3 linked regions of the Drosophila melanogaster genome follow. The protein of the gene in region 1 interacts with the protein of each later gene in a pairwise test. Each region holds a gene or a part of one and is shown in the gene's direction. Other genes may lie near its edges.

The links. Proteins that work in one complex are often made in the same cells at the same time.
Region 2: the proteins of ewg (region 1) and CG4617 interact in a two-hybrid assay, tested with the Drosophila melanogaster proteins (one large-scale study listed by BioGRID).
Region 3: the proteins of ewg (region 1) and Cyt-c-p interact in a two-hybrid assay, tested with the Drosophila melanogaster proteins (one large-scale study listed by BioGRID).

The regions. Positions count from the first base shown.
Region 1 is NC_004354.4:276,610-281,418, reverse strand, and holds the start of ewg (erect wing), read left to right. Parts: upstream 1-1,784; 5' UTR 1,785-2,234; intron 2,235-4,809. UniProt on the Drosophila melanogaster protein: May function as a positive regulator of transcription in developing and differentiated neurons, regulating common aspects of neuronal differentiation and maintenance. Requirement in the CNS may be higher than in the peripheral system.
Region 2 is NC_004354.4:7,101,995-7,106,058, reverse strand, and holds CG4617 (uncharacterized protein), read left to right. Parts: upstream 1-1,567; 5' UTR 1,568-1,664; coding exon 1,665-1,698; intron 1,699-1,754; coding exon 1,755-2,267; intron 2,268-2,329; coding exon 2,330-3,039; 3' UTR 3,040-3,224; exon of another isoform or gene 3,225-3,349; 3' UTR 3,350-3,504; downstream 3,505-4,064. Other genes in the region: CG8300 (uncharacterized protein), read right to left, coding at 1-265, 667-903.
Region 3 is NT_033779.5:16,718,172-16,723,204, forward strand, and holds Cyt-c-p (cytochrome c proximal), read left to right. Parts: upstream 1-1,760; 5' UTR 1,761-1,805; intron 1,806-3,837; 5' UTR 3,838-3,878; coding exon 3,879-4,205; 3' UTR 4,206-4,473; downstream 4,474-5,033. Other genes in the region: Cyt-c-d (cytochrome c distal), read left to right, coding at 964-1,281. UniProt on the Drosophila melanogaster protein: Electron carrier protein. The oxidized form of the cytochrome c heme group can accept an electron from the heme group of the cytochrome c1 subunit of cytochrome reductase.

The DNA.
Region 1 (4,809 bases):
ATGATATAGAAGAATATTATTGCCAATTGTGAAATAAACGGAAATAGTACACGCCTCGACCCCTTTGACCCAATTCAGTTTTAAGTTGCCAAGCTGGATTAAATACTGAATTCAAGATCACTGCCAGTTTCGATTATGCAGAACCGATAAGGCCAGTTCGTGTAGAATTCCGGAAGAATTGCCGATAAGGAATAAGTAGGGCCAAGTTTCAGATAAATCCAAAGCCACTATGGGGAATTTGATTCGTTTTTTGGCATAAATGTGTTTTTAAAAATGTTTCAATTGTTGAACACTTTTTTCTTAACGGATTAAGATCAAGGCTTAAGTTATGTAACGCAAATGTAAATTAATCAATGTTAAAAACCACGTGCCATCGATGACCTTCTTTTTTAGTGCTTACGAAAATTAATTGAGTTTCAAAAAATTTTTGATATGTGTGTTAGTCAATGTTTTAGAGTGATTAATTACCTACTTAGAACACATACGGTTAACGCGACTTTTGCGAATGCTACTTATTGTGACTTTTCGCGAAGATTACATTTTTAGGTAGCAATCAGCAATGCGGCCCTGATAGAAGTGTACGAAATGCGACTCTGAAAGATTTTTTTATCAATAAAAATGTTAAGAGACTTAAGTTTGTACCGATTGTGGACAATCTAAAACATGGTGTAACTCCAATACATTGGTGGATTAGATAGAATATATTGATTTAAAAAAAAAATTTTATGGGAGTGGGCGGGGCACCCACTTTGCCAAAATAATTCTAAATTCATCGTATCTTAAATAGTTTACGAGATATTAATTTATGCCAATAAAACATGTTAAATTCCCCATAGTGCAAGCGCACTACCAGCCTCATTTCACAGCGATAAGCAACTTGTGGTTTCTTTTTATATAATATGAATTCTTTGGTTTTTACATACGGGCAATCTGTGTTAAAAAAAAACAATTCCTTTTATCACTATATACATCCTAATAATGAATTTTATTGTGTGAGTGCCGACGACGGACATAAAAACCCAACATTTTTGGTGGCAAGCAGTTAGTCGTCTTCGGTCGTTCTAGTTTACCAATCCTTCAGGATTTCATATCCCTAAACTATTTTTTTGTTTTTTATTTTTTGTTAAATTTCCCGCGTGTGAAATACGAAGTTGATTGTATGTCAGTTTTTCATTTGGCCTGGCTAGCTTACTCCTTTTTAAATATTGCTAGCTGCCTTGTGAAGGGCTTACGTGTAATTGCAGTTCGACTCCCGAATAATAAATTTTTCGACTGTTTAAAATTTACCATTATTTTGGGGTATCCTAAAAGTTTTGTTACATTAATAACTACATCTGATTAATTCGTGGATCAAATGTTGTATATTCTTTGTAGCGTTCATAATATAAACCTTTAAAAAAAGCTACTAATAAACTGTCTCTTATCAGATACGGAGATGGTGGAGTGCTAGAGAGAAATTTAAAAACTCTTCTAAAAAATAACAAACTAAATAAATATGAAACTATTATAAATATGTGAGTGTAATAGAGGACGTGGCAAGCCCAGGGAACAAATTTTCCCTGCATAGAAAGACTAAAATCTTTTTGGCACCAGAAAACTTAAATTTCTTATATCAAAAATTATTATTATATTATTATATTTATGGATTATTATATGCTTACTCAAAAATATACAATCAATTTTTCAACTAATATAAGTCCGCTAGGGGGACTTGAATTTAAACTTAAATAGCACAATTAGTGGGACCGCCAATCCTCGTTTCTCCTATGCATTTTAGAGTGACCGCTTTCCTTCGACTGCGATATGTATTGCGTGTACATTATCGACGTCTGAAAAAATCACGCGTGCTGTATATCGATATTTGTCATGTACTAAATACCATTCCTCGGCTAAATTAAATCGCAAAATTGCGTCGAAACTTGGGGAAAAGTGCTGGGACAGGCAGCTGAAAACTAAGCTAACGGAAAAGCATCGTGAGGGAAAACAGCGAAACTTTGCGAGCGGGAAATTTTGGAGCTACAACCTAGAAACGGCAGTGCGCAAATGTAAAATGCACGGAATATTCGCATGTGCAGTGTGATAATAAATAAACGCCAAAGAAAATTTTCGGCGCAGGGGCAAACACACCAATGCACAATAGCGGCGGCGCGTTCGTGTGCGTGCGCCTTTTTTTTCTTTGTGAGTGTGTATGTGTGTTATCATAAAGGAGCTGGAAAAACAACAAAAATACACAGGTGCGTATGTGGGTGTAAACTAGTGGTAGGGGTCAACAAATTTTCCGATTTTCCACTGTGACAGTCTATAATTTATATGTGTATATAGAGATTTGTAGTGGCATAAGTGAATGCCCAAAAGTTTCGGAGTTTCTGAGCTAACGGTTCTTGCTGGCTTGTGTGTGTGTATTAGGTTATCATATATGTGTGCTGGTGTATTTAGCTTGTGTTACCGTTACATCGGCGCCGTAAATGAAAATCCAACTGCGAGTGTCCGTAACTTAACCATGCGCCTCAGCTAAAAGTTAAAACAAAGACAGGAAACTCCGATAGGAAGGATGATGTGTAAAGTAGGGTTGTAGAATAGAAACGCCAAACAGGTATCACTTCCAATTGTGTGCACGACAGCACACGCATTTCCCATTTGCATTGGAAGGTATGCGTGTTTTTGATGCATCTGTGTCTGTGTGATTCTGACGTTTTTGGGGTTGCGAAAAACACCCAAACCACCCCCTAGAGACGAAAAATTTGTAGATACACACATGGATAAACAGAGCGGGATGGCTAGCTCACAGCAACCTTCATTGGGTTTTTCCAGTTCCAATAGTGAAGGACGCCACTGTTATAGGTTGTATTGGGGTGGGCTATAAAAGTACAGTTCCAATTGGAACAGGGCAACGGCCAGCCTACAATTACAGATTATATTTGTTACATCTTTTAAATCTAAGGAATAAGAGTATTTTATTTATTTTATGGCCGATTTAAACACATGCCTAACAAAAATAGTTTCTACTCGAGATGAGTTTAAGATAGTCAAGAACATTTAATAGCTCAAACAAATATAAAAATTTAGACATAACAAGAAGATTACATTTTTGCTGGTATTTTCCTGTTTCCCCGACTATAAACTCCTACGAACTCTTACTGTTGGTTGTATATGTACATACATATGTATATTTCTGTCACTGCATTGCTATGAACAGTGGTGGTCTTTGCGCCGACTCCACTGCCGCGACAACCTTCGCATGCGTAACTTGCCTCTCGTTTGTATTTTCGCTGTTATCATTTCATTTTTGTAGAGCTGTGCTGTCCAGCACAGAAAAAAGAGTATGGTGGGAAATTAAGAGAGGGAGAGAGAGAAACAGCAGTACCAAGAAAATTCGATTGTGGGAAAGGGAAAGTAAAAAAACACGGTGGGGTCAATTCTTTGCAGAACATAACAAATTGTCTTATCATAATTTGGTAATTATTGCGGCTGTTAGTCTTGCATGCTTAAAATTATAAAAAAGTGTCTTAAGGTATTTTTAATTTTCCTATATATGTATAGATAGAATAAACGATACTTCGATGTAAACGGCAGTAACTTTTTGGAGTTTACGGAAGCTGGGGTTAAAGAATTTAAATATTCAAAAATAATGAAATATTCACGAATACTAAAAATTGCCTTAAGAATACATATAAAACGCGAAAGCACACATACGCTTACATTAAATAGTAAATTGAGAAAACACCGAATAAGAAGAATTTATGATCGGATACAACAAGAGTATAATTTCTTTTCTAATATTTTGATCAAATTGAAACCGAAATTATGATGTCAAAAACGGCTTTTACGAGTATACGCTTTGTGCGAAATATAAAAACAAACTAGGATTCTTTTTCCTCAATTTCCCTGTGACTTTTCGACTTCTCGATGCAATTACAACCGAAATATATTGAAGTGTATATATGTATATATATATATATATACTTATGTATATATATGTACAGATGTTAAAACAACGATGCTACACTTTTTTAAATTATTTTTTTTTTTATTATTCCGTACCGAATAATATACCATGTGCAAGACAAAGAATACTCTTGGAAAAGGTGCAAGCATATAACATTAAAACTAAGAGAATAATTTTCGTAGACACGTATAGACGGACGTGGCTTTGTCGCCTGTGGTGTTGACACTGATCAAGAATAGTATACATCGCAAATGCCTTCTTTACAGTGTTGCTAACTTCCGACACAAAGTTTAGTTGCGCTTACTGCAACCTGTGGGCATCACTGTGTAGGCCTTAAATCTTAAAGGACTCTAAAATGGCCTACTTCTATAATTAGAAAGAAAACCTGAAGACTACATCCAACAAACGCAGAGCTTTTTAATTTGGCAATACTTTAGGTTCCTTCACACAATTTCATCACCCACCTTTTTCAGAATCCGGATAAGAATGTATATATGTATGTGTCTTAGGGGGTGAACATATACTCTCTCTACTCTTTTCCCCTTTCTCTCATCATCAGATGCCTATTTTGATTACAATCAAGGTTTAGAAGTGTGCTCACTTTTGCTGGGCCACTTTTCTCGATATATGTGTGGCACGCGCAAGTGGGTCGTGCTCACATCCCCTATAAGGACGTGGGAGTTGGTGGTGTTCCCACTGCATTGTTTCGCGGGGGTGATTGGGTAGTTCGAGTAGTGCATGCGTGGTAGTTTAAAAAAGATCCAAGGAAAATAAATAAAAACACTGCATAAGATAGTTTCATCGTGAGGTGCACCTCGAGCTGGGCGAGTTTGCGTGTGTATTCAGTGCGGTGAAAGGTGTGG
Region 2 (4,064 bases), 6.8 Mb from region 1:
TGGTTTCGTTGCGATTGTTGTTGCCGCTGCTGTTGTTGTTGCTGCTACTGGTCGTGGTCGACATGGCCCGCGGGTGCCAATTGTCAAGGTCCTCGTCGCCGTGCTCCTTGGCCCTGTGGTAGTTCTCCAATTCGCTGGCATACTTGCTGCTGGTGATACCAAGCAGGTGGGCCAGCCCACCGCCCACATAGTCGATGCCGGCCAGGAATCGGTTGCCCATCCTGCTGGCCTTGTAACGCAGGCGTGGTCCCAGCGGCATTTCGCTCTAAAAGGTGGCAAAAAAAAAAAAAGCGGGCTAAATGAGTCACGCTAAATGGTCAATGAGGAGGGGGGCGGGGGGTGGCAGCTGCTTATCTTTTTCGTGGCCCTGGGCCCTGTTTGTTTACTTAAACAGCTCAAAACACACATTTTCATTGAAAGATATAAAATTTCTCACATTATTATCATAATTCGCTTCGAACATTAGTCACGTCTCGAGCTCAAAGTGAAAAGTTATTATCTGGATCAGGAGAACTGGGCTAATCTTGAGCAAATTTAACTAACTGTGTTAATCCGGACAATCCCGCTTTAAAAAAGGTAAACAAGCAATGCAGCTACATGACCATGTACTAAATGGATGGCCGGAAGTGCATTACTCCACCCATAATCCTTGCTGAATGTATGTACCTCGTTTAAATGGACGTCGTAGCATTTGTCGCCCATTTCCGCATCCGCCTCGTCCTCGCTGCCCGAGGACAACTCCTCCATGACGCCGTCGCTAAAGTACAGCATGCGCTTGTTGGACTGCAGTTCAAGGGCGCTCACATTGTCCGTCTCGGATGCACTTGCTCCACTCGCAGATGCCAGTTCCAATCCTCCAGCTGCACTGCGTACTTCGCCACTCTTGTTCCTCTCCGCTGACATGGCTATGGATAGCTCTAAACCCGATTAAGTACCGCCTCGATTGATTGACGCTGCGCGAATGTTTTTGCTTGCGCTTGAGCTTCGTTTGAATCGCAGCCGCCGTTTTGGTCATGAAAAAAGCGGACGCGGGTCAACGCCAAATGCGTATACGGCCGGCTGGGGGCCAAAATGTCCTTGGGTTGGGGGCCACCGGCGAAACGACTCACAAACGGCGAGAATCGCGTGCCATGGGGCGCTTGGCGCAGTTAGGTGCAAAGCAAATCGATAAACTAAAAGCCGCTTTCAAACAGCAAAAAAAAAAGTCGAAACAAAACAAAGGTGCGGCAGTGTGACCAGCTGATGGTTTTTGCAAGCTAACTGGATATTAATTTAGATGTATTGTAATAAAAATGAAATTGCAGTCGTATATATCGTAAATGTTTTTGTTTATAAAAATAATTAATAATATAATAAAAAAATTAAGTTGTGCGTGCACATCCTGTGCTTATAATTTAAATAATATAACAATAAAAAATATTATATTATTAAATAATTAAGTTTAATGGTTTCCTACTCTGTACAATTGACTGGTGCAATGGTTATTAACTTAGCAATATATTCAAAAACTAAAATGGTTATCTAGTGTTCCATATTTAACCATCGCTTGCAATGCATCGCGTTTTAAAGCTCTGGTCACACCAAACAGCTGTTTTGTTTGCTTCGTTTAATTCGTTCTTTTTGCAACAAATTGCATCCCAATCTTCCAAAGCAGGTATCCAAACATGGAGTCCCCAACCTCGCACCTGGTGGCCAAGGGTGAGTGGAAAAAGCGGCAGCCGTCAATGGAATCGGGGTCATAAATTCCCAATTAGATTTCCAGGTGACGGGTGTTTCGCGCAGCGGACGCGTACGCAAAAAATCGTCGAAATTGTTGGATTTTGAATCTCCGGATGAGATCGAGAAGCGCACAAGGCGTCACAGTGGCGCCAGACAGCCAGCCAGATATTCGGGCCGCGGCAGGCCATCGAATGCGCTGCGTGATCTGGATCTTGACCAGGAGATGCTCGTGGATGATGGCATTATCTCGGATAGCGAGGAATTCCATCCGGATACAACGGCAACGGTCGTGGCCATTCTGAATTCCGACGATGAACTGGACAATCTGGTGCAGGATATCGTCGATGGTGTCCAGGCGGAGGCCACCAGCCAAGAGTCATCCGTCCGTCAGAGTCTTTACATGCGCGAGAAGTCCAACAAGCGGCAGGTGCTCAAGGACGGCAAGGTGGTGAGTGCCAAGGTGCAGCGCAAGGACAAGGGCAAGCAGCGCTACACCGCCTACAGTCTGTGGGCCAAGGAGGCGCGACAGAAGGATCTCCAGGATCTAGGTAGGTTGCTACACATCTGTGCGCTCTCTATCGCTTATTGACCATTCCCCGCACGCTTGCAGACTTCACCAGCGCGACCAGACGCCTCAGCGAGCTGTGGGCGAACGTTTCCAATCGGGACAAGAACACCTGGCGGCGCAAGGCCAAAATCGAGGCGTCCAGGGCCAAAACTCGCGACAAAACCGCTGCAAACGGTGCAACCCAGCCGGCGAGCAACGGCAGCACGGCTCTGGCAGATGCCACGCAGCACGAGACGATCTTTCAGAACCGTGCGACAACAAGTCGCACTCGAAAACTGGCCGCCGATCGGCAGCAATCCTCAATAGAAGCGGCTGCCGCAGCGGCGGCAGCAGCAGCGACTGGCACCAACACACAGCGGCGCAGCATCAGCACACGAAGTGCCAGGTCGCAGGTCTCGAAGAGCGCGACGAAACAAGCGCAAGTGCACACGGATGCGGACGTCAGCGGCCGGACTGGGGGTCAGCTGAAGCAGGAGGAGGTGCAAAAGACCAGCATCGAAGTGATCGATGCGGCCGCACATCTGAAGCTGCTCGGCGAGAGCCTGACTGTGATTGGCGAGCGACTGAAGAAGCACAATGGATACGTGGCGCTATCGGGCAGCTTGTCCGTGCTCCTCGACAGCCTGCTCTGCGCCATGGGACCGCTGCTCTGCATGACCACGCAAATACCCGGCATGGAGAACAATGTGCAGTTGAGCAAAAATCTGGCCGACACGCTCGACAACATCGCCTACGTAATGCCCGGACTATGAAGTAAATTCCGGATTGCAACTGCAAATGCATACATATATATATATATATAATCATACCAGGCCGCTGCGCTTCCAGCGGCGACTAGAGTCGCCATCGGGATCTGTATGTTTGTAAGGAGTTGGCCAACCTGGAAATAGTTAATCGCATTAGATATGCCTAGTTGATAAACTGAAGCATCTAGATCGTAAGTAAAAGGTCTCCCTCTAATTGAGTTTTTTTTTTATTTGCTTCTTGAATTGAAATTCGTACGCTAAAAAGTTTAGTAGTTCACTTATTTATTTCCACTTTTTGTTTTTTGCAACATTTAAGCACAAATCATCGAAACATTGGTAGAATTAGGCAACATTAAATATCCTATAATCCTTAAGTGAAATAAATGTGAATCACAAGATTCTTATTTCAGCTTCAAATTAAGCAGGCACTTTTTATAATAAACGTAATAAATAAAGATAAATATAAAAGCTAAAAATATGAGATGATTTCTTCCTCTGCCCAAAAATCTTTATAAAAGTGAAATATTTTTAAAAATGATCTCAAATAAGCCATAATTGAAGGTTCGAATAGTGGAACTATAAGCTAGATATAAACTTTAAATATTTATAAATACGTTAATTATTTGCTTACTTTCTAGAGATGGCACTTCGCTGGTGCGCCATCGATGACTTGGCTTGCCGTTACAACGGCGAGCTATCGATGTTACATCGCCGCCCTGCCCACCACTAGCCAGTCCGCGGAAAGTAAATAAGAAGACGGACGCCAAATCGAATCTTCCCACATCCCCGGATGCAGTGCAGCAAGCTCTGGGTCCCTGAGAATCCTGCGTGGGCCTGGGATTCCGAATCCTCTTCCGCCCCGGATCCGCACGTCAGCGCGGCATCCGCATCCGCCACCGCTTCCGCCCACGCACAGCATCCGCAGCCACATCCGCGGCAGCAAAAAAACGGTGAGTTTTCCACCTGCATTTTTTTTTGGATTTTCCGGGGGGGGGGGGGGCAGCAGCTGTGATTGGGATGGAAAATACTTG
Region 3 (5,033 bases), on another chromosome or scaffold:
TACCAGTGCAGGGCTGCCAGGAAAATGTCATTGTTTGGATTTAGAATGTGACATTTACATACGTACGTAATATAAATATATAAATAATATCATTCTCTGAAAAATATCATAATGCACTCTTGTAAATTTAAAACAAATTTAATTTTAAGATAATTGGTTGAGATAAACATAGTTAATATTTTCAATTGATCCTTTAAATTTTAAATTGCAGGTGAATATCATCCCTGTGTGACCGTTGTATGCGGCATGGTTCCATGTCTCTTTCCCGTTATTCATTTCCCTCTGCTTTGTTTTTTTTTTTTTTGGTTTTGTTATGCGGTGGCATCTGTTTTTGCCACAGGAAAATGGTTGAGAGAGGGGAAGGCAGGGGGCGAAAGCGGAGAGTGCGTAAAATGCGTTTTAATTGAAAGGAAATGTTCAAAGCACATGTGCATCTGCTAGTCAACGAATTGGTTGGGAAAGGGGGTGGCAAGCCGAATGTGTCTGCTAATTGAATTACCTTTCGGTTGCTTTTCCCATTAGAAGTGCCGACAAGTTCTCGAGCTGCTTGTTTGCTTTTCATTTAATACCCATTTTGATTTAATTTTCGTTTTTCCTATTTTTCTGACCCAATTTTGTTTTGCTTTCGTGCATTAGCAGCTGTCTCTGTCTATCGCTGTGCAGCCAAGAGAGTGACCAAGAGAAACGCTCTCTCTCTCTCTCTCAGTTGTCCAGGACTTGCACTTTTCAAACGGTTTTTTAGGACACTGAAACAAATTGAATCTGTTTTTCTTTTCTATCAAATTTTTAGTTCTACACTTTTCTTTTTCATGATAGTTTCGGAATCAACCAATTTCTATTTGATCCAAATTAACAAAAAACAAATAACAAAAAATTAAAAAATATAGAAATAAAAGCTGCATAAAAAGTTGAATTCTAAATCATAAATATCATTTTTCCCTATTTGTCTTTCAGGCTTCCAAGATGGGTTCTGGTGATGCAGAGAACGGCAAGAAGATATTTGTGCAGAAGTGCGCCCAGTGCCACACCTACGAAGTGGGCGGCAAACACAAGGTGGGCCCAAATCTTGGCGGGGTCGTGGGTCGCAAGTGTGGCACAGCAGCGGGATACAAGTATACCGATGCCAATATAAAGAAGGGCGTTACCTGGACAGAGGGGAATTTGGACGAGTACCTCAAGGACCCGAAGAAATACATTCCCGGAACAAAGATGGTGTTCGCAGGTCTTAAAAAGGCTGAGGAGCGGGCCGATTTGATTGCCTTCCTCAAGTCAAACAAGTAGAATCGCCTGCGAAACAACAAGATCGGCCACCATGCTATCCAGAAAACTGCGCTTAAAGACTACAAACATATTCAAAAGATGACGTATTTCACTTGGATTTCGAAACTTTGATTGGGAATGGTCGAGCTCAAATACATTTCAAAAAGGTTTACTTTCACTTTAGCCAATTAAAGTTGATAAACCAAAAACCCTCTTCTTAATTCAAGTTGTGTGCGACGCGGGTGGAGGAAAGTGTTGTACCAATCAGCTTTGGTCACAGTTGGTTTTATGGTCCTACTAGCAAAATGTAATAAATTGGAGAAGCTTGTTAAATAATGCAAATTTTCCAGAGGCTTTCCAATATAGTCCCGTTAATAGGGGAAAAAATTACTTATACGCCGTGTGGTGGATAAATACGGGTACAAAAGCTTGCGACATTTTTTAATGCGTGGCCCCCGGTCACTCTGGTCACACTAATTACCTATCGACATAACGCGCGCTCGTCATTCGTGAAAAATCGGCGACGCTCGACGTTTGTGTTCAATGTAAGTAGTGGGTGGAATTTTTGTATTTTCAAGTGACGTAAATATTACCTTGAATAGTTATTGATTATCAAGCCCCAAGTCAGATAAAGATTAGAAACACTTCCGTGTCATTTACGTAACATCCAGCAGCTGTGTTTTGTTCTGAAAATGATTCGCATGCAAATTTAACGTATTCTTTGGGGGATGATTCAGGTTACATAAACGTGTCCTTGTGTGTGTGTGTATAAGTGTGATTTTTTATTAGATATTTAATAGTTTATTTAGCAAATATTAGCAGTGGTGTATTAATAGTAAAAATAGCATCCCAAAGTCACATTGCCATTGAAAAAAGCCCCGGAGAGAGTCGATTACATGAGCAAAGAGAGTGGCGTACCCGATCATCAGCTGTCTCGCTCGCTCAGTGGCAAAAATTAATTCTTGGATTTTTTGTCAATGCTTCAGCTTTGGAGTCTTTAAGCGCGCCACGTGGTTGCTAAGCAGGTTTTGCTTTCTGCGATGTGCAGTTTTCTATAATATAAATAAAAGAGAATTCACCTCTGCGAAAAGGCGGCTTATGTAACATTCGCTGCTCTCAGGAAACTTGGATGTTGGCCCAATTTTCACTCATCTCTTTGTTCTCACCACCTTGCTCACCCACACAAGGAAAAACACAGCTGCCTTTGGCCTGCTTCCAATTTTCCAATTGCACTTTCCCTTCATCTCACGCACACTCACGCACGGCAATTAACTGAAAAATACTCAACAAGGCCAAATCGGATGTTGACATTGTTGTTGCTTTGCCACCTCTCACTGCCAAAGTGCATGATACTCTACACAGAAAGAAGTGAAAAAAAGGTTGATATTAAATGCAAATTATGTGTAAAAGCGCACAAAATCAATAGTCTATATATATTAGGTTTGTTTTTATAGACAAATGCATATAAAATAAAATTAGTTTTCTAGAATTGAAAGAGCTTCAGCTAATCGAATTTCTCTCAGTCTATGTGCGTGATGTGTAGGTGAATTACTCACCGCAACGGTACTTTGCACTCTCAAGTTCAAATTGCTGCATGCAATTTATAATCCGGCAATTAGCAGGATGACCGTAACACAGACCCTGGAATAATAGAATAGTTATGTAAACAACTAACGTTTTTCGTATTATGATGCTTCCTGGAAGTTTTCCGCCTGTTGCTGAGCAGTTCTGACGCAATTAATCGGCGACTGGCAAATATAAGCGAGTGAGACACAAAGAGAGTGTGAGAAGGAGAGAAAGAGTGTGGGGGCAACATGTGACCAGCGTCTGAAGCTTTTTCAAAGTGTGTTTCTGATGACGTTGCGACGCCCTCCACGCGCGTATTAGTGAGAGCAAAGTATGTGGGTTAAAAAGGGGGTGGCCGCAAATGGAAATGCAGACTACGTTAGATAATAATTTCGGGCCTTATCAGAAACAACAGCCGACTAATGCACTTAGCATGAGCAATTTTAATAATTCCGTTTCCGCAGGGAGCTTATCAATTGTTTACATAACGGGGCAAGGGGACAAATATTAATTCACGGTCCATAACTACCTACATTAACCCATTATTTCCCAAGCATGGAAATTTTTGATGATATAAAGACGTTATTATTTTAATACCTTAAAAATATATAATATTATATAAGTAACGTTGGGAAATCAACTGGTTAATAAATTTTAAATTTCGGGTTTATTTATTCAATAATCTTTTGATAATGTATGGCTGAAAGTGAAGCTTTTATCAGTATCTACACAATGGTTCATTGGGGCTAATAATAAATGGTATCAAATATCGTATAACTATTTTTTGCAGTGAAACCAGAATTTCGGACTAAGTACATAAGCAAATGATATAAAATATATATTGTAATCAATTTATCAGAATAGAACAAATTAATTGGTAGCAGTTATGAACTTTGAACCATTTAGTAGCCAGTTTTTTAAGTTTTTCAAACCTAAGATGTAAGATAACAGATATATTGGTTACCCTTGTTTTATGAACCACTCATTAATAACAAACATTTCTTTTTACAGTCGAGTCCGTGTTAACACATTAATTAACCACATAATCCATAATGGGCGTTCCTGCTGGTGATGTTGAGAAGGGAAAGAAGCTGTTCGTGCAGCGCTGCGCCCAGTGCCACACCGTTGAGGCTGGTGGCAAGCACAAGGTTGGACCCAATCTGCATGGTCTGATCGGTCGCAAGACCGGACAGGCGGCCGGATTCGCGTACACGGACGCCAACAAGGCCAAGGGCATCACCTGGAACGAGGACACCCTGTTCGAGTACCTGGAGAACCCCAAGAAGTACATCCCCGGCACCAAGATGATCTTCGCCGGTCTGAAGAAGCCCAACGAGCGCGGCGATCTGATCGCCTACCTGAAGTCGGCGACCAAGTAATGGTGCTGTCCATCAACTTACCCACAACCACTGCAGGATGTCAAACTGTATTATTGTGTTCAGTCACAGTCCGGCACGCAAATGCAGCAGCAGCAACAACTACAACTACAAATCAACATAGTACAGACCTAAAGAACTACAATTATGTTAATTATAAAGTTTAAATAGGACAATTTATTATTTAATTTAAATAAAAAGTGGAATATTTAATTCAAACCCGATGAGAATTGTGACATCCACAAAAAAGTTAAATAATAAAAAAAGAACTAAAAAATGATATAAAATCTGTTTTATGCGAGGACCTGGTTTTTGTAGCTCGCAGGTCAAAAAGAATAAAAAAAGCTTCTTCAGATTTTTGACTCGGGCAACTCAAATTAAAAATAAGAGATACCAATCATATTTATAAAACAATTGTCCTGGCAATTTCTATCAATAGGTATCTGTTAGTCGTCAAACTCGACTGCAGCATACTCTTTGCGTCTGTCAAAAATGTTGTTGGCTGATCTATATAGGCCTTACTCATCTGAGTCGCACAAAGATGACCACAAATCATCCTGGGTTGCTGCAAATTCCTTAGTTCATTGCGTGGAGGTAGACATCACTAAAAACATCCAACAAAGAAAGAGTCGATACGTTACGCAGAAACATCACAATAAGATTGTATTACTGAGAGAGAAAGTAGAAAACTATTAGGGTCGAAATGCTCTCTTAATGCACATTCTATTTGGCCAATCGTTAAACAAGAATACACTGGTATTTTTATATTTTTTGGCTAATTTATGTATATTTTCTTTTACACTCCCAAAATTGTATCATACATTTTAATAA